Macaca mulatta: one gene and its partners. The main gene of each other region encodes a partner of the protein of the gene in region 3 in a complex. Links are inferred from orthologs where the notes say so. Each region holds a gene or a part of one and is shown on either strand. Other genes may lie near its edges.

Region 1 (7,952 bases), about 65 Mb from region 3:
CTGGGTGTGGATCTGAAGTCAGCAGACCTATCGAGTGTTTGTGTCACATGGGGAGGTCAGAGAATGGGAGGCGTCTCTGTAGGAGAATCCTGACAGCATTCTCTGCATTTAGAACACCCAGGGTTTAGAGCTAACGTGGGAGGCTCCCGCCACAGGAGCCACTGAGATTACAAGATTAGCTGCAATCCAAACCACATTTGGAGAAAAATAAAATGAGAAAGGGAGATACAGGCCTGGTGGCGGCACAGTGGCTCATGCCTATAATCCCTAGTACTTTGGGAGGTAGAGGTGGGAGAATCACTTGGGGTCAAGAGTTCAAGACCAGCCAGGGCAACCTACTGAGACTCCCCTCCCCCTCGCCCTGTATTTAAAAAAAAAAAGAAAGAAAGGGAGATATAAGAAAGGGAAGGCCGGGCGCGGTGGCTCAAGCCTGTAATCCCAGCACTTTGGGAGGCCGAGACGGGCGGATCACAAGGTCAGGAGATCGAGACCATCCTGGCTAACACGGCGAAACCCCGTCTCTACTAAAAACACAAAAAATTAGCCGGGCAAGGTGGCGGCGCCTGTGGTCCCAGCTACTCGGGAGGCTGAGGCAGGAGAATGGCGGGAACCCGGGAGGTGGAGCTTGCAGTGAGCTGAGATCCGGCCACTGCACTCCAGCCTGGGCGACAGAGCGAGACTCCGTCTCAAAAAAAAAAAAAAAAAAAAGAAAGGGAAGGGAGGGTTAGGTGGTCTCTTCGATGAGATGATTCCTTCCTTCCTTCCTCCCTTCCTCCCTTCCTTCTTTTTTTTTGAAACAGAGTTTCACTCTTGTGGCCCAGGCTGGAGTGCAATGGCACGATCCTGGCTCACTGTAACCTCTACCTCCCGGTTCAAGCGATTCTCCTGCGTCAGCATCCCAAGTAGCTGGGATTACAGGCGTCTGCCACCACACCCAGCTGATTTTTGTATTTTTAATAGAGACAGGGTTTTGCCATGTTGGCCAGGTTGGTCACGAACTCTTTTTTTTCTTTTGGGGCAGAGTACTGTGTCGCCCAGGCTGGAGTGCAATGGCGCCATCTCGGCTCACTGCAACCTTCGCCTCCCAGGTTCAAGTAGCTGGGATTACAGGTGTGCGTCACCATGCCCAGCTCATTTTTGTATTTTTAGTAGAGACAGGGTTTCAGCATGTTGGCCAGGCTGGTCTGGAACTCCTGACCTCAAGTGATCCTCCCGCCTCAGCCTCTAAAAGTGCTGGGATTACAGGCGTGAGCCACCACGCCTGGCCTGATGTGATTTTTTTTTTTTTTTCCTGAGATAGACTCTTGCTCTGTCACCCTGGCTGGAGTGCAGTGGCACGATCTCAACTCACTGCAACGTCTGTCTCCCAGATTCAAGTGATTCTTCTGCCTCAGCCTCCTGAGTAGCTGGGACTACAGGTGCCTACCACCATACCCGGCTAATTTTTGTATTTTAGTAGATATAGGGTTTCACCATGTTGGCCAAGCTGGTCTCGAACTCTGGACCTCAGGTGATCCACCCACCTCTGCCTCCCAAAGTGATGGGATTACAGGCATGCACCACTGCGCCCGGCCCAATGTGGTGATTTCTAAGTAGGGATCTGAGGGAGTAAGGAGCCAGCCAGTGGCTGTCTGAGGGAGACTGTCCCTGGCAGAGCGAACCGCTAATGCCAGTACCAGGTTCTGGGCCAAACAGAAAGAATCTTGGGCTCTCACTACATATATATATTTTATATATATAATATATATACTTTATATATATTATATATACTTTATATGTTATACTTTATATGTTATATATGCTTTATATATGTATAACATATATTTATATATTATATATACTTTATATATGTATAACATATACTTTATATATAATATATATTTTATATATGTATTGTATATGTAATATGTATGTTGGGGTTTTTTTTTGAGATGGGGTCTTGCTCTGTTGCTCAGACTGGAGTGTGGGCTTACGCAATCCTCCTGCCTCAGCCTCCGCAGTAGCTGAGACTACAGGTGCATGACCACCACACTTGGCTAATTTTAAAATTTTTTTGTAGAGACGGGGTGTCACTGTATTGCCCAGAGTGGTCTCCAACTCCTGGCCTCAAGCAATCCTCCCACCTCAGCCTTCGAAAGTGCTGGGATCACAGGTGTGAGCCATGGTGCTTTGCCTTCATATTTTGAATAGGCCGAAACAGAACTCCAGAATCCCCTTACCCCTATCCCCACCACCCCACATAGCAGGTTTCTCTCGCTCTGTAGCAACCCACTTACCTCTCTGAAATCATCCCAGGCGTGTTCGGAGTGCACGCAGCCCCGTTAGCCTCCCGGTCTTCTCCTGTAACCAGCCCAGCTCTGCCTGAGAGCTTCCACTATTCCCTCCATCTGGAATACCCACCACTCTCTCCCACCCCGGGCTTGGATCTGGCAGTACTGTACCAGCCTCAGGGCCTCTGCTGTCGGGCTTTCTGCTCTCAGAGCCTTTGTCACTGGGCTGGGAGCTCCAATATGATAAATGCATAGCCCGGGGCTAGGACCATCAAGGGAACCCAGTAAGTTGGCTCCCGAAAGAGAACTAGAAGCTTCGTTTGCATTGCACGTTATTTAATATTGAGGAAAATATAATTAGCCCGTATATAAGCATTGGGGTGAGAGCGCTAAAGATTGACCCCACCCACCTCCCACTCCTCACTTCCAGCCGTAAGCCACTTCCGGACAAGGCTAAAAATGAGTAAAACAATGCAACTACTCGCCACCTATCCTTCCCCAAGTTCCACCCTCCGAGCCTCAAGCCCCACGCCCTCCTAAATATCCCCGCCCCCGCTGGGACCCCAAATTGCCTAGAGCTCTGCAATTCCGCCCTTCCCGGCAGCGGGACCGAAAGGGTTAAGCGGAGGCTCCCGGCTCGCTGAGTGACAGCTTGGCCGGCAGCCGGGGAGAGCCGGCCAATCAGGGAGGGCGTACGCGACCCACGTGCGCAAACGGCCTCACGATTGGCCAGCGCCGCCAGATGCCTGCCCACCCCGAGCCCGAACCCACGTGCAGCTACTGCGCCTTCATTGATCCGCTTCGCGGTCCAGGTGGCGGCTGGGTGGGGCCTGGGCGGGACGGGGCAGGGACAGGGCGGGACAAGGCGGGGCCCGATGGGTCAAATGGCCCCCGGTGGGGGAAGGAGGAGTTTCCTCTTGGCCTGAACTTGGCTGACCTCGGCAGCTTCCGCCCTGTGAGGGACGTGAGTTGCCAGGCGTTTTCCTGGGGGTTGGGGGGACTCCAAGATTCCCGGGCCGGGGAAGGGGCTGCAGGGGTGTGGAAGGGCAGGACTGAGGCAAGGAAGGAGCTTGGTGCTGCAGCTGGGATGCAGGTGGAGGGAGGTCGTTTCTTCTGTCCGATGAATTCCGCCTAATGCACCTGGCTAACTCCTATTCATCCTTCAAAACCCCTTTCTAGTGATATCCCTGCACTTTAGGAAATTGTCTGAAAACTAAGGTTGAGCTTTGGTGACCTTCCCTGGGCTCCCCCAGCAGGGAGTGTATGTGCACCATCCACCCCAACCTCCTAGGGTGAGGCCTGGGAGGCAGGGTTCAGTTCTTTCTGGGTCCCCGGCCCCACGAATCTGGGCAGCTGGAGGCATTGATAAGTGAGGACGGGACCTAGGGAACGCATGGGGGAACCGCAGGACTGGGGCCCTGGAGACTTACCAAACCGGGAGGTGCAGGTGGGGTAAGGGGTGGCTCCCTCCCTGACACTGCCTTATTTTCTGTCCTTCAAGACCTGCTGTCTCCTTGTTTTAGACTTTGGCTAAAGTCCTGGAGGCTACTGCCTGAAGATGACCTCTAGGGACCAGCCTAGCCCCAAGGGCCCCCCGAAAGGCACTTCGGTGAGGAGGGCATGGGGTGGGATCAGCCCTCAAGGGAAACCTAGGTCAGCCCAATGAGGTTCTGCCCCTTTCTCATCCTGTATCCACCTATGACCTGGGCTGGCCTCATCCAGGCCTCACAGCTGAAGACAATACCGGTCACTGCTACATTCAAGACAGGTGCCAAGGAGCCGTTTTTTTTTTTTTTTTTTAAATTAAGTGTAGGCTGGACACAGTGGCTCACAACTGTGATCTCAACATTTTGGGAGGCCGAGGTAGGAGGATCATTTGAGCCCAGGAGTTTGAGACCAGCCTGGACAACGTAATGAGACCCCCATCTCTACAAAAAAAAATTAAAAGAATCAGCTGGGCCTAGTGACATGGGCCTGCCTGTAGTTGTAGCTACCCAGGAGCCTGAGGCAGAGGCTTTGCTTGAGCCCAAGGAGTTTGAGGCATTGCACTTCAGCCTTGGTGACAAAGTGAGATCCCATCCTTAAAAAAAATGTAGCTTCTAATCACATACGTGATAAAAAACACAGGAACACAGCACGTATTTGGTTAATATTTTACAAGCAATCCGGGCTCCCTGTACTTTATGTCCCAGAGATGACCATTTGTAAATTTAGGCTCTCAGGGCTGAGCAAACTCTCTTTTTTGTAAAGGGGTCAGATGAGGAATATTTTGTTTTGAGACTTTATGACTTTATTGTTTTTGAGACGGAGTCTCACACTGTCACCTCGGCTGGAGTGCAGTGGCGCAATCTCGGCTCACCGCAACCTCCGCCTCCCGGGTTCAAGTGATTTTCCTGCCTCACCTCCCGAGTCGCTGGGACTACAGGCACCTGCCACCATGACCACCAATTTTTTTTTTTGTATTTTTAGTAGAGATGGGGTTTCACCATGTTGGCCAGTCTGGTCTTGAGCTCCTGACCTCGTGATCTGCCCGCCTCAGCCTCCCAAAGTGCTGGGATTACAGGCGTGAGCCACTGCACCTGGCCAAGAGACTTTATTTTATTGAGTCTTGCTCTTGTCGCCCAGGCTGGAGTGCAGTGGCACGATCTTGGCTCACTGCAACCTCCACCTCCCAGGTTCAAATGATTCTCCTGCCTCAACCTCCCGAGTAGCTGGGATTACAGGTGTGTGCCACCATGCCCGGCTAATTTTTGTATTTTTAGTAGAGACAGGGTTTTGCTGAGTTGCCTCGACTTGTCTCAAACTCCTGACCTCAGGTGATCTGCTCACCTCGGCCTCCCAAAGTGCTGGGATTACAGGCGTGAACCACCTTGCCTGGCCTTTTATTTTTAAAAATATTTTGTGCTTCTATTTTCATCACAAGAATGTGGTGAATATTTTAGACTTTAGGCCAAAGTGCAAAATGGAAGATGCTCTTTTAGGTACTGAAATAAGAGGACGGGCGCAGTGGTTCATGCCTGTAATTCTAGCACTTTGGGAGGCCGAGGCGGGTGGATCACGAGGTCAGGAGGTTGAGATCAGCCTGGCCAAGATGGTGAAACCCCAGCTCTACTAAAAATATAAAAATTAGCCAGGCATGGTGGGAGGCGTCTGTAATCCCAGCTACTAGGAAGGCTGAGGCAGGCAATCACTTGAACCTGGGAGGCAGATGTTGCAGTGAGCTGAGATTGTGCCCCTGCACTCTAGCCTAGGTGACAGCAAGACTTGTTTCAAAAACAAAAACCACAATTACTTTTGCATCAACCTAATACCTATACTCTGGTTGAGATGGAGACCTGGGGTCTTGAGTGTTTGGGGCATTGTAAGTTTTTTTTTTTGTTTTTTTGTTTTGAGATAGTCTCGCTCTGTCACCCAGGCTGGAGTGCAGTGGCGCAATCTGGGCTCACTGCAAGCTCCGCCTCCCGGTTTCACGCCATTCTCCTGCCTCAGCCTCCCGAGAAGCTGGGACTACAGGCACCCGCCACCTCGCCCGGCTAGTTTTTTGTATTTTTTTTTTTTTAGTAGAGACAGGGTTTCACCGTGTTAGCCAGGATGGTCTCAATCTCCTGACCTCGTGATCCGCCCGTCTCAGCCTCCCAAAGTGCTGGGATTACAGGCGTGAGCCACCCGTGCCCGGCCAGGGCATTGTAAGTTTTATGTAACCTTGCTTTGACCTTTCCAGCCCCGTCCTGGGATCTCGAACTCTGAGAGCTCTCCACCACTGAATTATCAAGGCATTCTAAATCGGCTCAAGCAATTCCCCAGGTGAGAGCAATTCCAGGGGCTGGCAGTCCCACGCTGGGAAGGGGTCCCACCTGGCCTCTCTCCTTGGGGTCCTAGTGAGTGGTCTAGAAACTGCTGGCCCAAGAGACAGGCTCAGGAACAGGAAGCCATGTCGATACCCAGCATGGAGAACCCAGCAATACCCATCCCAGCTTTTGTTTCATATGTTGATTTTCCTGTGCGACATGGATTTGTTGGCATTCAATTTTATTGTTGAAAAATACTGCAATGGCTGGGTGTGGTGGCTCGCACCTGCAATCCCAGTACTTTGGGAGGCAGAGGCGGGCGGATCCCTTGAGGTCAGGAGCTCGAGATCAACCTGGCCAACATGGTAAAAGCCCGTCTCTACAAAAAATACAAAAATTAGCCAGGCGTGGTGGTGGGTGCCTGTAATCCCAGCTGAGGCAGGAGAATCTCTTGAACCCAGGAGGCGGAGGATTGCAGTGAGCCGTGTTCACACCGCTGCACTCTAGCCTAGGCTACAGAGTGAGACTCCGTCTCAAAAAAAAAAAATATGTATATATATATATATACTGCATGGGCTGGGTGCAATGGTTTGTACCTGTAATCCCAGCACTTTGGGAGGCAGAGGCAGGAGGATCGCTTGAGCCCGGAGTTTAATACCAGCCTTGGCAACATAGTGAGGCACCATATCTTAAAAAATAAAAATCTGAGTGTGGTGGTGCATACCTGTAGTCCCAGCTACTCAGGAGACTGAGGCAGGAGGATCATCTGAGCCCAGGAGTTGGAGGCTGCAGTGAGCCATGATTGTACCACTGCACCCTCGCCCGAGCAACAGGGTGAGATTCTGTTTCAAAAAAAGAAATTGAAGAAAGTGGCAGGGTGGGGCGCGGTGGCTCATGCCTGTAATCCCAGCACTTTGGGAGTCCAAGGTGGGCGATCACCTGGGGTCAGGAGTTTGAGACCAGCCTGGCCACCATGGTGAAACACTTTCACCATTAAAAATAAAAAATTAGCTGGGCGTGGTGGTGGGTGCCTGTAATCCCAGCTACTCGGGAGGCTGAGGTGGGAGAATCTCTTGAACCCAGGAGGCGGAAGTTGCAGTGAGCTGAGACCGTGCCACTACACTCTATCTAGCCTGGGTGACAAGAGAGACTGTCTCAAAAAAAAAAAAAAAAAAAAGAATAGACTGCATTAAAATCTTTATTGAACTTCTTGACACTGCCTTATATTTGGCTTCCGGAGCCAATGCCTTCCAGCTTCGTTGAGACCCTCCCTAGGGGTTGAGGGCGGGGCTTACTCTGGGGAAGGGGTCCTGAAGTCACAGGTCTTCCAGCCTCTCCTCTTTCCCCCTCAGGTTTTCTCCTCATTTTGCTGCGGAATTGGAGAGCATTTACTACTCGGTGAGCCAGACCCAGGCAGCCCCAACCAAGGAGGGCCCCACTGGGACAAGCCAAAGCAGTGGTTTCACAGCCCTGCCTCCTGAGTGCCCTAGAGAGGCTCTTTTCAGCCAGGCACTGTACCTCACGCCTGTAATCCCAGCACTTTGGGAGGCCAAGGCATGTGGATCACCTGAGGTCAAGAGTTTGAGACCAGCCTGGCCAACATGGTAGAGCCCCTGTCTGTACTAAAAATACAAAAATTAGCCGGGCATGGTGGTGGGTGCCTGTAATACCGGCTACTCGGGAAGATGAGGCAGGAGAATCGTTTGAGCCCGGGAGACAGAGGTTGCAGTGAACTGAGATCACACTGTACTCCAGCCCAGGTGACAGAGCAAGATTCCCTCTCAGAAAAAAAGTAGGGACCATACATCAGCGTAGTATGAAAGTAAAAGAGAAAACAAGGTGAAAACAAAAATTTTTTTAAGGTGGGGGCAGGGGGTGGAGTAGGGACCAGAGA
Region 2 (6,668 bases), on a different chromosome or scaffold from region 3:
CTGATGCATGTAGTTAAGTCCCAGCTTACTTGGGTTGGAAGAGGGTGAAAGACAGTGGTAGATATATAAATCCTAGCCTCCCAAAGTGCTAGGATTACAGGCGTGAACCACCATGCCCTGTCATTTTTTTTGTTTTTTGTTTTTTTGTTTGTTTGTTTTTGTTTTTGTTTTGGGGGGGTTTGTTTGTTTTTTGAGAGGGAGTCTCGCCCTGTCGCCCAGGATGGAGTGCAATGGTACGATCTTGGCTCACCGCAACCTCCGCCTCCCGGGTTCAAGCGATCCTCCTGCCTCAGCCTCGCGAGTAGCTGGAATTACAGGCCCCTGCCATCATGCCTGGCTAATTTTTGTATTTTTAGTAGAGATGGGGTTTCACCATGTTGGCCAGGCTAGTCTTGAACTCCTGGCCTCAGGTGATGTGCCCGCCTTGGCCTCCCAAATTGCTGGGATTACATGCGTAAGCCACTACACCCGGCTTGTTTTTTGACTTTTTAATAAAAGCCATTGTGACTGGTGTATGATGGTATATCGGTGTGATTTTAATTTGCATTCCTCTTCTGATTAGTGATACTGAGCATTTTTCATGTGTTTGTTGGCTGCCTGTATTTCTTCTTTGGAGAAACATCTCTTCATGTTCCTTGTCCAGTTTTGTTTGTTTGTTTCTTTGTTTTGTGGAGACAGAGTCTCACTCTATCCCGCAGACTGGAATACAGGCTCATTGCAACCTCTGCCTCCCACGTTCAAGCGATTCTCATGCCTCAGCTTTAGGAGTAGCTGGGATTACTGGCGCCAGTCAGCACGCCTGGCTAATTTTTGTATTTTTAGTAGAGACAGGATTTCGCCATGTTGGCCAGGCTGCTCTAGAACAGCTGGCGTGAGCCACCGCATCCGGCTTTGCCCAGTTTTTAATGGGGTTGTTTTTTCTTGTTGTTTTGCAAAGTACTTTAATTGTCTCAATTAGCAAGTAAGAATTTCCCAACTACTAAATCATTCCTATATATTAAATATATTCGACCGCCTGGGCGCGGCCTGAATATATACATTTGGTCTATTAATGTGGCAAACCTGAAGTTCTCTTTAGTGTTTCAATACTGAATAAAAATAAATTATAAATTATTATTTATCTTATAGCAACACAGTTAAAAGTTATTATTTTCACACTTTTTTTTTTGTTTTGTTTTAGTAGAGGTGGAGTTTCACCGTGTTAGCCAGGATGGTCTCGATCTCCTGACCTCATGATCCACCCGCCTCAGCCTCCCAAGGTGCTAGGATTACAGGCGTGAGCCGCCGCACCTGGCTCAGTTATTATTATTTTTTGAGACAGGGTCTCACTCTGTCACCCCGCGGGGAGTGCAGAGGCACCATCACTGCTTACTGTAGCCTCAGCCTCTCTGGGATCAGGTGATTGTCCCACCTCAGCCTTCCCAGTAGCTGGGACTACAGGGGTGTGCAACTTCGCCCAGCTAATTTTTGTATTTTTTTTGTAGCGATAGGGTTTTATCATTTTGCCCAGGCCAGAAGGATTGCTTGAGACCAGCTTGGGCAACATAATGAACCCTTGTCAGAAAGGGAAGGGGAAAAGAAAGGAAAGGAAAAGGGAAAGGAGAAAGGAAAGGAAGGATGAGACAAATATAATTGTGTTATTTAGAGAACAGAGGCATCACTGGGCATGGTGTCAGAGGCTTGTAGTCCCTGCTACTGGGGCAGCTGAAGAGGGAGGATCTCTTGAGCCCAGGAGTTGGAGGCTGCAGTGAGCTATAATCACACTACTGCCCTCTAGCCTGGGTGACAGAGATCCTGTCTCCAATTTAAAAAATTAAAAATAAAAAAGAACAGAGATGTCAAAAATTTTCAAGGAATCTCCTCTGGTGTCCAAACCACGAGAACCATCTGTGGTTAGGTGTGTTCATTGCTGCATTAATTAAAAGCGCTTTATAGTCCCACCACTGGGGAGGCTAAAGAGGGAGGATTTTTTTCAGCCCTGGAGTTCGAAGCCAACCTGGGCAACATAGCCAGACCCCATAACTTTTTTTCTATCCCCCCCTTTTTTTTTACTACGCAAATCTCACTACACAGACCCTATAGCAAAACAAAACAAAACAAAAAGGCGGGCGCTTATTCTGCTCTGTACTCAGCTGTCTCAGGCAAGTGACAGAATAATCTGAAAACCTGGTGCCAGAGGGAGAAAACGTAGTGGCCAGGGATCAGAAGCGAGTGAGGGACGTATGAAGTATTCATTCTGCAAGTATCAGTTCCTTCCTCTGGGAGAGATACTGGGCTTGTCCACGCCTTCCTGAGTCCATGGTTAAGACTCCCGCTGGGCACCAGCGGATTCCTGGTGCCCAGAGCCCGGTTCCTCCTCCCGGGTGCGCTGGGGAAAGGGCTGCTCCTGACAGAAGAGACACTGAGAGCAACGCAGGAACCGGTGCACTTGCGCTGCCTCGGAAAAAGCCGGGGCTCCTGGAGGCGGAGGCGAGGCCTGGGACCCAATGAGAAGGGCGCGGTTGGAGAGGAGGGGCTGGCCAAAAGCACTTTAAATAAGGCCCAGGCGAAACCGCAGTTCTAGTCGCCTAGCTCCAGCTTGGCCTTTGGGTTTGCTGTGGTGGTCTTGTCTCCTGCAGGACCGGGCGCAGCATGGACACTCCCAGGCGGTTTCCGACGCTCGTGCAACTGATGCAGCCAAAAGCAATGCCAGTCGAGGTGCTTGGTCACCTTCCTAAGCGGTTCTCCTGGTTCCACTCTGAGTTCCTGAAGAATCCGAAGGTAGTTCGCCTTGAGGTTTGGCTGGTGGAAAAGATCTTCGGTGAGTGGAGCAAGGAGGGGCAGCCCCTATGCGGCTTCTTTCTGCCGCCCACACCCACATCCCACTGCGTTCCAGGGCAAGCCTCCCCAGTAGCCAATGCCCTCTGGCTGTCTCCTCCTTCCACTTTCCCCTCCCAAGACCCCCGGGAGCCACCCAACCCTCACAGCCTCTCTACTACCCGCGCAGGCAGGGACCGAGAACGCATCCCGCACGTCCAGGGTATGTCCCAAATCTTGATTCATGTGAATCGGTTGGACCCTAACGGCGAGGCTGAGATCTTGGTATTTGGGAGGCCTTCTTACCAGGAGGACACAATCAAGATGATCATGAACTTGGCTGACTATCACCGACAGCTCCAGGCGAAAGGTACGGGGCTGGGAATGGGGCTACCTGGAGCAAACCCTGGCTCCGTAGGAGTGATCCTGGGGTTTCCTGGCTGCTGGGGCTGCAGTCTCGCCCTCCCAGTCTGCCCCCGGTTAGTGGGTGGGAGACGGGGCGGTTGCCATGGATCCAGAAGGCCAAAGTGAACCCGCGTTCTGGGATTCCTGGTTCCTACTCCCGCAGGCCGCTTGGGTGACTGTCCTTTTTTGGAGAGGATATAGGGACACAGCTGTGGCCTCCGCACACTGCTCTTCTTTCAGGCTCAGGAAAGGCCCTCGCCCAGGATGTCGCCACTAAGAAGGCCGAGATCCAGCTGTCTTCAACAGAAGTCCGGGAGGCCGGGACCCAGCGTTCGGTGGAGGTCCGGGAGGTCGGGACACAGGGTTCTCCGGTGGAGGTGCGGGAGACCGGGACCCAGCAGTCTCTCGAGGCTGCCAACCAGTCCGGGACCCAGCGATCCCCCGAAGCTGCCAGCAAGGCAGTGACCCAGCGGTTTCGCGAGGATACCCGGGCCCCAGTTACCAGATTATGAAGGCATCTCGGGCCCTGGAGCCAGAGCCAGTCAGGGGTTAAAGTGAAAGCCCGTACTTCGCCCAGAAGCTGCGGTTGGGAGGAGGATGATGTGGATTTTTTGTTTTACCCCTTCTGTTGAATGGTTGCAAACACAAACGAGTTCTAATAAAAAATTGCAAACTAGAAGCCGCCCCCTACTTCAGCCCCTGAAGCTGGGGTAAGGGTGGATGATGTGGATTGGTTTTTTTTACCCCTTCTGTTGAATGGCTGCAAACACAAACTTGAGTTCTAATAAATAATTGCAAAGTGGAAGCCCCCCGCTACTTTAGTCCAGGAAGCCGGGGTGGCGGGGGAGGTTGACGTGGATTGTTTTTGTTTTACACCTTCTGTTGAGTGGTTGTCAACACAAACTTGAGTTCTGATAAACAATTGCATTTCCCTGACGTCTGTATTTTGGAAGGTAGAGGGGAGGGAAAGGCGTATTCCTCCAACAGCCCAGTTCTGCCCTGCGCCGCTCTTTACCTCGAGACAGGTGGGGCTTCTGGCTCCCAGCCGCCCGGGGTCGCAATCTTCCCTGGCTGTGGTCCGCTGTGCCCCTTGTACTCCTTAACTGCGCGCATCTGGCTTTAACAGGTGAGAAGCTTCTCTGGCCCACTAGGAAACCTCTCCAAGCCCGCTGTGGTTCTACTCAAGGTGACTTGGGATGAGAAAACCGGGTCGCTTGCGGGCCAGCTGGATTTGGAAGGCCCTGCGTGTATGGCGACGCTGCCACAGAACACTTTCCCCGCTGGGGAAAATTACCTCGGGGAAGGGGGAAACGAAGAGAGCCGAGCTGCACTCTCCGGCTGCACTGTTGCCGTCTTCAGGTCTTGCTTGGGTCACCCACCTTCCAGGAAGGTCTTGGACACCAGCAAGATACAGGCACCGGCTACTCTTTCCTCAGTTACTGCGGCAGCGAGGAGCCTGAGCAGAGAACACTTTGGCTTCCCGGGTCACAGCTCTGGTCAGGGCACTGGGATGCAGGTCCCTGAGCCTGCGAATTAATCTAGAAGAATGCAAGCCAACAGCTGGGTGCTAGGATTAAACAATAGCATGCAGTAATTCTGTAATTAGGATTTAATTAGGATTTTTTTTTTTAACCAAGAATCACTGATAATTTTCATTTTATTTTGGAGATGGAGTCTCGCTCTGTCCCCCAGGCTGGAGTGCAGTGGCCCCATCTCACCTCAACACAACCTCTGCCTCCCGGTTTCAAACAATTCTCCTGCCTCAGCCTCCCCAGTTGCTGGGACTACAGGCCCGCGCCACCACGCCCAGCTAATTTTTGCGTTTTGGGTACAGAAGGGGCTTCACCATGTTGGCCAGACTGGTCTGACCTCAGGTTATCCGCCCGCCGCCTGGGCCTCCCAAAGTGCTGGGATTACAGGTGTGAGCCACCACGCCCAGCCAATCACTAGTAATTTTTAAAAGTTCAAAGCTAACTTTAAATATCAGGGGAATGTCTATCACAAACTTTTTGTCACCACTAATTATCACTCGAGTTTAAAATAATCATGTACCTTACAATAAGGGAATTACAACATAAAGCTGAATTTACAAAAACTTATTAGCAACTTTTAACTGGTAATCATTTTATTAAAATAGTTGACTAATTTTAGAAGAACTTTAGAACATTTTAAATTCAAAATCAACACAAAATCAGTTTCAGATGAGGATACATCACAGAACTAAAACTCAATGTGTATGTTGTTTTTCTCTGTGTAATACCCACCTTACCAGAATGTTGGATTCTCTCCTTTACAAGCTGTTTTCATTGTCCTTGACCAAATTCAGTGTTAACCAATCTATGTTCATGTGTAACTTTTCTACTTTTTCTGCTGTCTACCTCCTATTTTAATTAAGTAGCTTTGTAGACTGTTTTAACATTTAAGAGGGCAAGTCTACTTTTTTTTTTTTTTTTGAGACAGAGTCTCGCTCTGTCACCTAGGCTGAAATGCAATGGCATTCCACTGCAATCTTCACCTCCGGGGTCTAAGCAATTTTACTGCCTCAGCCTCCCAAGCAGCTGGAATTACAGGCGCCCACCACCACGCCTGGCTGATTTTTGTATTTTTAGTAGAGACGGGGTTTCACCATGTTGGCCAGGCTGGTCTTGAACTCCTGACCTCAGGTGATCCACCTGCCTCAGCCTCCCAAAGTGCTGGGAATACAGGCCTGAGCCACCGTGTCTGGCCCTCACAACCTTTTCAACTCATCCAAAACATCTATGAACATCTTTCCTGGAACTGACACTTTAAGTTTCACCTATTCATATGGCTGCTTCTTTCTCTAAACACCCAATAAATGGAAACTCTATATCATGCTGGAATTATAGATGTCATCAAGCCAAGCCAGCTGCTTGGCGTGGAGGAACAGGAGAGGTTGCCACACTGGAGGCTGAGGCAGGAGAATTGCTTGAACCTGGGAGATGGAGGTTGCAGTGAGCCGAGATTGTGACACTGCACTCCAGCCTGGGCGACAATGTGAGACTCCATCTCAAAAAGTAAAATAAAATACAATAAAAATAAATAAATAAAAATAAAAACCCCACCAGGGCCAGGTGCAGTGGCTCATGCCTCTAATCCCAGCACTTTCGGAGGCCAAGGTGGGAGAATCACCTGAGGTCAGGAGTTTGAGACTACCCTTGCCAACATGGTGAAACCCCGTCTCTACTAAAAATACGAAAATTAGCTAGGTGTGGTGGCACATGCCAGTAATCCCAGCTACTTGGGAGGCTGAGCCAGAAGAATTGCTTAAATCAGGGAGGCAGAGGTTGTAGTGAGCTGAGATCACACCACTGCACTCCAGCCTGGATGACAGAGCAAGACTCCATCTCTAAATAAATAAATAAACAAACATACATTAAAAATCACACCAGGAAAAACTTGAAAGAATTAATCAAATTTCTATGGGAGAAAATTAGGAGCTCTTAAAC
Region 3 (7,344 bases):
GACGGGGTTTCTCCACGTTGAGGCTGGTCTCCAACTCCTGACCTCAGGTGATCTGCCCGCCTCGGCCTCACAAAGTGCTGAGATGACAGGCGTGAGCCACCGCGCCTGGCCGTATCACATGTTGTTTATCTGTTCATCCATGGATGGACATGTAAGTTTTCCACATCTGAGCTGTTATGAATAATGTCAGAGTGAGCGCGGGAGACCAAATACCTCTTCTGCATCCTGACCTCAGTTCTTCTGAGCTTACACCCAGAGATAGGATTGCTAGGTCCTACAGTAGCTCTATTTTAATATTTTTTAAGGAACCTCTGTACTGTTTTCCAAAGCTGTTGCACAGTTTTACGTTCAAGTGGAGCTGGAATTGAAGCAAAGACCTGATGTAGGGCCAGGCACGGTGGCTCGCACCTGTAATCTCAGCACTTTGGGAGGCCGAGGCAGGGGCAGGTCATGAGATCAGGAGTTTGAGACCAGTCTGGCCAACATGGTGAAACCCCATCTCTATTAAAAATGCAAAAATTAGCTGCATATGGTGGAGGGCGCCTGTAGTCCCAGCTCCTCGGGCGGCTGAGGCAGGAGAATCGCTTGAACCCGGGAGGCAGAAGTTGCAGTGAGCTGAGATCATGCCACTGCACTGCAGCCTGGTGACAGAGTGAGACTCCATCTCAAAAAAAAAAAAAAAAAAAGATCTGACTCAGGAGCTGGCAGTTCCTAGTCATACCTGCATACCCCCTCGGGTATCAATATATCCAGGAGGCAGGGTGGACACAGGGCTAGTCGTGCAAAGCGTGATGGCAGCCACTAAGTTGCCTCAGAGTCTCTAAAGCTGCCCCGGTCTCGCCTCGATAGCTCAGTCCCTCTCCTCCGACATGTTGCCACGATTGTTCACCTTAAACTCCATCCCACAAGCCCATATTTCTGTCCCCCCCAACATAGGATGTGCCTCGATAGCTCTGTCCCTCTCCGACATGTTACCACAGTTGCTCATATTAAACTCCATCCCACGAGCCCCTGTTTCTATCCCCTGATGTAGGATGCGGGGTAAGACCCTCATGGAGGATCAGTGGGAAGATTTCTGCTCTGTGCTCAGCACCCACCCCAACCTGCGGCAGCTGGACCTGGGCAGCAGCATCCTGACAGAGCGGGCCATGAAGACCCTGTGTGCCAAGCTGAGGCATCCCACCTGCAAGATACAGACCCTGAGGTAAGGCTGCCCACCCCCTGTGAGAGAATCCCTTCCCATGACGCTGTCCCAGCTCTCCCCTACCTCCTGAGAGGAGACCCATCTGAAACCCCTCAAGCTCAGCCTGAGGGCATCAGTGCCACCCAAGGTGTAGGAACCAAGTTCCCAAAAGCACAGAGTGGGGAGTTGCTAAAGACCTTGTGATCGGCCAGGCGCAGTGGCTCACGCCTGTAATCCCAGCATTTTGGGAGGCTGAGGCGGGAGGATCACAAGGTTAGGAGTTCGAGACCAGCCTGGCCAACATGGTGAAACCCCAGCTCTACTAAAAATACAAAAAAAATTAGTAGGGCATGGTGGTACGTGCCTGTAATCCCAGCTACTTGAGAGGCTGAGGCAAGGGAATTGCTTGAACCAGTGAGGTGGAGGTTACAGTGAGCCAAAATTGCGCCACTGCACTCCAGCCTGGGCAACAGAGCAAGACTCTATCTCAAACAAAACAAACAAAAACCTTGTGTTACTGAAGCAGGTTCCTTGACACCAGGTTTGGACGGGTTTGGATGGATTAAGCTCTTCAAGGCAGGGATTGTTAATACTGCTTCATACGCTATTCCCAGTAGCTGGCCCATCACAGGCACTCAGGTATTCGTTGCTTTACAAGGAAATACAATTAGAAATTTGCAAGTTAGAATGGGAGAAGGATGGGAAGGATAAGTGAGGTCACAACAAAACGTCACCAGTGTCACATGCATCTCCCGTTTCCCGTCTCCTGCAGGTTTAGGAACGCACAGATTGCCTCTGGTCTGCAGCACCTCTGGAGAACCCTCATTGCCAACCGTAACCTAAGATCCCTCAATTTGGGAGGCACCCACCTGAAGGAAGAGGATGTAAGGATGGCGTGTGAAGCCTTAAAACACCCAAAATGTTTGTTGGAGTCTTTGAGGTGCGTCTCTGGTAGGGCTTTTGCCTTTTGTTTCTTCGTTTTTGCTTTTGTTGGAAATAATTACAGAAAGAGGCAAAAATTAAAGAGCTGAAAAAGTTTTGGTGGTGGATGGGGGTGATGGTTGCAGGAGTTTAATGCCACTGAATTGCACACCTAAATAATTAAAATAGTCCATTTTCGGTTATAAATACTTTATCACAATAAAAAAAAACCTCAAAGTTTCATTTAAAAATTTTTATGCTTGGGAGGCCGAGGCGGGGACAGATCACAAGGTCAAGAGATCGAGATCATCCTGGCTAACACGGTGAAACCTCGTCTCTACTAAAAATACAAAAAAAAAATTAGCCGGGCGTGGTGGCGGGTACCTGTAGTCCCAGCTAATCAGGAGGCTGAGGCAGGAGAATGGCCTGAACCTAGGAAGCAGAGCTTGCAGTGAGCCGAGAGGGCACCACTGCACTCCAGCCTGGGTGACAGAGCGAGATTCCATCTCAAAAGAAAAAGAAAAAGAAAAAAATTATGCAGAGGCAAGGTCTCATTCGGTTGCCCAGTCTGGTCTGTTTTTTTGTTTGTTTGTTTGTTTGTTTGTTTTTGAGACGGAGTCTCGCTCTGTTGCCCAGGCTGGAGTGCAGTGGTGCGATCTCGGCTCACTGCAAGCTCTGCCTACCCGGTTCATGCCATTCTCCTGCCTGAGCCTCCCGAGTAGCTGGGACTACAGGTGCCCGCCACCACGACCGGCTCATTTTTTTTATTTTTCTTTTTTTTTTTTTTTAGTAGAGACACAGGGTTTCACCATATTAGCCAGGATGGTCTTGATCTCCTGACCTCATGATCCGTGCACCTCAGCCTCCCAAGGTGCTGGGATTACAGGCGTGAGCCACCGTGCCCGGCCTTGACAATGCTCTTACAGTGAAGTCAGTGTGGTATGTCGTCGCCTGAGACGGGCTTTGCTCCGTCAGTGCTTGAGATCCACCCAAGCAGTCAAGTGTTCGACATTTTCTTCCTTTCTCTTGGCGACAGCCATTCGATGCTATGAAGTACTGCAGTTGAACCATTCCCCTGTCCAGGGACACGTTGGTTGGTTGGTTGGTTCCGGTTTGGGGCTCTCACTGTGGTTTGCAAGTCCTGGGAAGGTGGTTTGTTCATTAGATTAGCTTGGTCTAGAGATACAACTATTTAATGTTTATGTAGTATTCTTTTCCTTTTTTCTTTTCCTTTTTTTTTTTTTTTTTTTTTTTTTTTTGAGACTGAATCTAGCTCAGTTGCTCAGGTTGGTGTGCAGTGGTGTGATCTCAGCTCACTGCAACATCTGCCTCCCGGGTTCAAGTGATTCTCCTGCCTCAGCCTCCCGAGTAGCTGGGATTACAGGCGTGCACCACCACACCTGGCTAATTTTTGTATTTTTAGTAGAGATGGGGGTTTTACCATGTTGGCCAGGCTGGACTCGAACTTCTGACCTGAAGTGATCCACCTGCTGCACCCTCCCAAATATTCTGAGACAGACAAGTACAAGCCCTGCTTTGAGCTTTGTTAGTTGGCACATCAACTAACATCAAAGAATAATAAGAATTTGCTTTGCACCGTGTGTGTTTGCCTGGTAGCCAAGGAACTGTACTTTAAAAAGATGTAACCCAGGGAAATTGGCCAAAGCATAGACATCGTCTCAGGACGGAAATGCTGTGCCTGACCTCACGTGGGGTTTATCTGGGAACAGATTGGAGGAAGCTACATGCTCACTCTTTTGCTCACTCTGCACCACAAGTGCAGAGAGCTGGAGCTTGGATTCAAAGAATAAATATACACGTTGTCAGAAAAGATGGATCTAGGCTATTTGGGGCCAAGAAAGGAAAAAGCATTGAAGTCACTTAGGTCCAGTTTCCTGGAAGTCTAATGAATTTCCCTTCTCATAACACACAGGGGCAGGGGTATTGTTCTATTCTCTTCACTCCTGTAGCCCCAGAACCTAGAACTGCTCTATTCCCAACACTTGGCCCGTATTCCCCAAAGTATTTATTGTACAGAGGGATGGGATGATGAGCTAAGTCTCTAAACGGTAGACTTTGACATTGAAAGATGGATTGGGCCACATTGTGAAGGGTTTCCATTCACTGTCACATTGAGGAGTTGGAACTTTCCTTTATTCAATAATGACAGATGCTTGATTCTGTGTGTAGTACTACGACAAGTTCCTGGGATGTGCTGATGAGTGAAACGAGATTCCTGCTCTCCTGATGCTCACAGGCCAGCACAGGGAGAACAAAACAAGACAGAAAGAATGATGTGTGCACACATGGCAGGAGCATGTGTAGGCTTGGAGAGCTCTAAAAGTTCTGTCTAAAATTCAACACAGGCCAGGCACAGTGGTTCACACCTGTAATCCCAGCACCTTGGGAGGCTGAGGCAGGTGGATCACCTGAGGTCGGGTGTTCAAAACCAGCCTTGCCAACATGGTGAAACCCCGTCTCTACTAAAAATACAAAAATTAGCCGGGTGTGGTGGAGGACACCTGTAATCCCAGCTCCTCGGTAGGTTGAGGCAGGAGACTTGCTTGAACCCGGGAGGCGGAGGTTACAGTGAGCCAAGACTGAGCCACTGCGCTCCAGCCTGGGTGACGAGAGCAAGACCCTGTCTCAAAAAAAAAAATAAAAATAAAAGGCTGGGGTGCGTTGCTATGAATGTTGAAACAATGGAGGGAGGTGGGGCAGGCACTGTTTAAGGTGTGGCTTACCCGAAAGGCGACCTTCAAGAGACATGAACGAGGACATGAGCCCCATGAAGACCTGAGGGAGGGGGGAGGAGGGGAGGTTGCAATGGAAGGAATAGCAAATTTTCAGGCCCAGAGGCAGGAGCAGACAGAGTCTGAGGACCAGGAAAATGGCCAGTGCCACTGGCGTGTGCTGAGTAGAGGGGAAATGGGCTGCTTTGGGCGAGAGCTGGGATTGCTTCATGCTGCCTGTCTCTGCAGGCTGGATCGCTGTGGATTGACCCACGCCTGTTACCTGAAGATCTCCCAAATCCTTACGACCTCTCCCAGCCTGAAGTCTCTGAGCCTGGCAGGAAATGAGGTGACAGACCAGGGAGTGACGCCTCTCAGTGATGCCTTGAGGGTCTCCCAGTGCGCCCTGCAGAAGCTGACGTGAGTGCCACTTCCTTTCCACCGGGATTATGGTAACTTCGATTCTCCAGTCATGGTGGGAGGGGAATGAGCAGATGCACAAACAGGGTGAGGAAGGAAGTTGGGACCTCCCGAGACTGCCCCCAGAGTCAGGGCATAAGAGTGACCTGATAAACATCTGTTCTTGCCGCCAAACTCTAAATGGGAGATACAAGGTGGAAGCGGGAATCAGTCAGATGGAAATTGAATAATGACCTTCCCTCCTGATAAAGCTCTCTTGGGCGTGAGGCTTACGTGTGCAGCTTACACTGTGGGTTAGTGAGTGCTTGTCCCCATGACTGGAGAGAGATGCCCGCCCACTCAGGCACTCAACGTGGGTGGGGGTCAGGCTCCCCTCTGCCTGGTAAAGTCCAGGCCAGAGCTCATGCATTCTGGGCTTCTGGGCACAGAGAGGCTCAAAAAGGAGGGTCCCAAAATCCCAATCCCACCTCCTCCTCTGGAGACAAGGGAGCCCAGAGCAGGGATGAGCCCAGGCCTGTGTTGTTCTAGCAGAAATGCCTCCAAGTGGAAATGCGAGGGGCGGCAGTTCCGCACCCTGACGCCTAAAGGGATATCACCTTTTTCCTTTTCCGTGTCAGAGTTTTGCTGTTGCCCAGGCTGAGTGCAGTGGTAAGATCCTAGCTCACTGCAGCCTCGACCTCTTGGGCCCAAGCGATCCTCCTGCCTTGTCCTCCCGAAGTTCTGGGACTACAGGTGTGAGTAGTGCCTGGCCCAAAGGACACGACTTGCTTACTGATAACTGATCTAGGGAGGGGGAGGAGAAGCAGCAGCAGAGTTACAGCACCCACTATTCAATGCTCACTGAGCTGTGCCAAGCACTGCGCTAAAATCCCTCCAACCCTTCCTCGCTGAGTTCTCAGAACAGGTCTACGGAACAGGTGCTGTTGATAACCCAGTTGACAGATGACACAGCTTCGGAAAGGCTGTGTCACTTGTCCCACAGTTGGATGGTGCTTGGATGGTGATGCCGGGAGTCAAGGGTGGGTCTGATTCAGCTGAGCCACCCAGTGTGGCAGCCAGTATCCACGTGTGGCCAGCCAAATCTAAGTTAAATGGGGAAGTCAGTTTCCTCATCACACTAGACCCATGTCAAGAACTCAGTACCCATGTGGGGCTAGCAGCTCCCATTCGGGACAGCACAGATCTAGGTGACCTTTAATCTTAGCTGGATGGCAGTGCTGGTGTCACCAATGAGACATCCAGGCTTAGAGGGTGACGGCGTGAGGCCCCATCACACCCTGAGCTCTCAGTCTTGGGTGTCATATTCTCAACGGGAAGGGGCTTTCACTCCATGTAGCAGACTGTGTCTGGAATCACTTCAGTGCTACATAAAAAGCTGCTTAAATGGCCAGGTGTGGTGGCTCACGCCTGTAATCCCAGTGCTTTGGGAGGCTGAGGTGGGCGGATCACCTGAGGTCAGCAGTTCAAGACCAGCCTGGCCAATGTGGTGAAACCCCATCTCTACTAAAAATACAAAAAAATTAGTTGGGCGTGGTGGAGGGCACCTGTAATCCCAGCTACTCAGGAGGCTGAGGCAGGAGACTGCTTGAACCCAGGAGGCAGAGGTTGCAGTGAGCCAAGGTCATGCCATTGCACTCCAGCCTGGGCAACAAGAGTGAAACTCCGCCTCAAAAAAAAAAAAAAACTTTCTAAGCTTTAAAAAAGCAGACAGAGTATGTCGTTTATGTCTCAGGGTCATGATGTGTTAAATGTACTGTTTTGGGGGGTGGTCTTGCTCTCTGTTTACCCAGCTGGACTACAGTGGCACAATCACAGCTCACTGCAGCCTCTACCTCCCAGGCTCCAGGGATCCTCCTGCCTCAGTTTCCCAAGTAGCTGGGACTACATGCACATCCCACCATGCCCGGCTAATTTTTTTTAGAGACAGGGTCTTGCTATGTTGCCCAGGCTGGTCTCAAACTCATGGGCTCAAGCAGTCCTCCCGCCTCAGCCTCTCAAAGTGCTGGGATTACAAACATATAAGCCATGGTGCCTGGCCTAAGCGTACTTTCAAATTGGAAAAATTGGCGCGGTACAGTGGCTCACGCC

The links. The genes of interacting proteins can lie anywhere in the genome.
Region 1: the proteins of NLRP5 (region 3) and TLE6 are in contact, whole or in part, in a cryo-EM structure (PDB 8H94), measured with the Mus musculus proteins. The link is inferred for Macaca mulatta from reciprocal best matches to the Homo sapiens genes NLRP5 and TLE6. Residues at the interface, in NP_035990.1 of Mus musculus: Gln185, Phe188, His283, Arg307, Glu326, Lys327, Lys329, Ser330, Ser334, Pro335, Leu336, Met444, Ala447, Glu448, Trp451, Tyr465, Tyr507, Tyr508, Glu511, Glu515, Asn517, Phe520, Phe522, Leu540, Met543, Lys544, Leu547, Val571, Lys574, Leu575; in NP_444484.1 of Mus musculus: Pro147, Gln148, Pro149, Val150, Cys158, Gln159, Phe161, Leu162, Ile163, Gly165, Leu166, Trp167, Leu169, Phe170, Ser173, Arg174, Gln175, Lys176, Asn177, Ala247, Asp248, Lys249, Phe250, Lys252, Pro253, Ser255, Trp256, Leu261, Glu262, Cys265.
Region 2: NLRP5 (region 3) and KHDC3L share a complex: the UniProt entries of both Homo sapiens proteins name them as parts of the subcortical maternal complex. The link is inferred for Macaca mulatta from reciprocal best matches to the Homo sapiens genes NLRP5 and KHDC3L.

The regions. Positions count from the first base shown.
Region 1 is NC_133424.1:3,767,639-3,775,590, forward strand, and holds the start of TLE6 (transducin-like enhancer protein 6), read left to right. Parts: upstream 1-2,697; 5' UTR 2,698-3,082; exon of another isoform or gene 3,083-3,234; intron 3,235-3,771; exon of another isoform or gene 3,772-3,793; 5' UTR 3,794-3,828; coding exon 3,829-3,879; intron 3,880-5,991; coding exon 5,992-6,074; intron 6,075-7,410; coding exon 7,411-7,456; intron 7,457-7,952. UniProt on the Homo sapiens protein: Component of the subcortical maternal complex (SCMC), a multiprotein complex that plays a key role in early embryonic development.
Region 2 is NC_133409.1:112,313,943-112,320,610, reverse strand, and holds KHDC3L (KH domain-containing protein 3), read left to right. Parts: upstream 1-2,631; coding exon 2,632-2,800; intron 2,801-2,986; coding exon 2,987-3,166; intron 3,167-3,441; coding exon 3,442-3,713; downstream 3,714-6,668. UniProt on the Homo sapiens protein: Component of the subcortical maternal complex (SCMC), a multiprotein complex that plays a key role in early embryonic development.
Region 3 is NC_133424.1:68,393,087-68,400,430, forward strand, and holds part of NLRP5 (NACHT, LRR and PYD domains-containing protein 5), read left to right. Parts: intron 1-1,033; coding exon 1,034-1,204; intron 1,205-1,955; coding exon 1,956-2,123; intron 2,124-5,085; coding exon 5,086-5,256; intron 5,257-7,344. UniProt on the Homo sapiens protein: Component of the subcortical maternal complex (SCMC), a multiprotein complex that plays a key role in early embryonic development.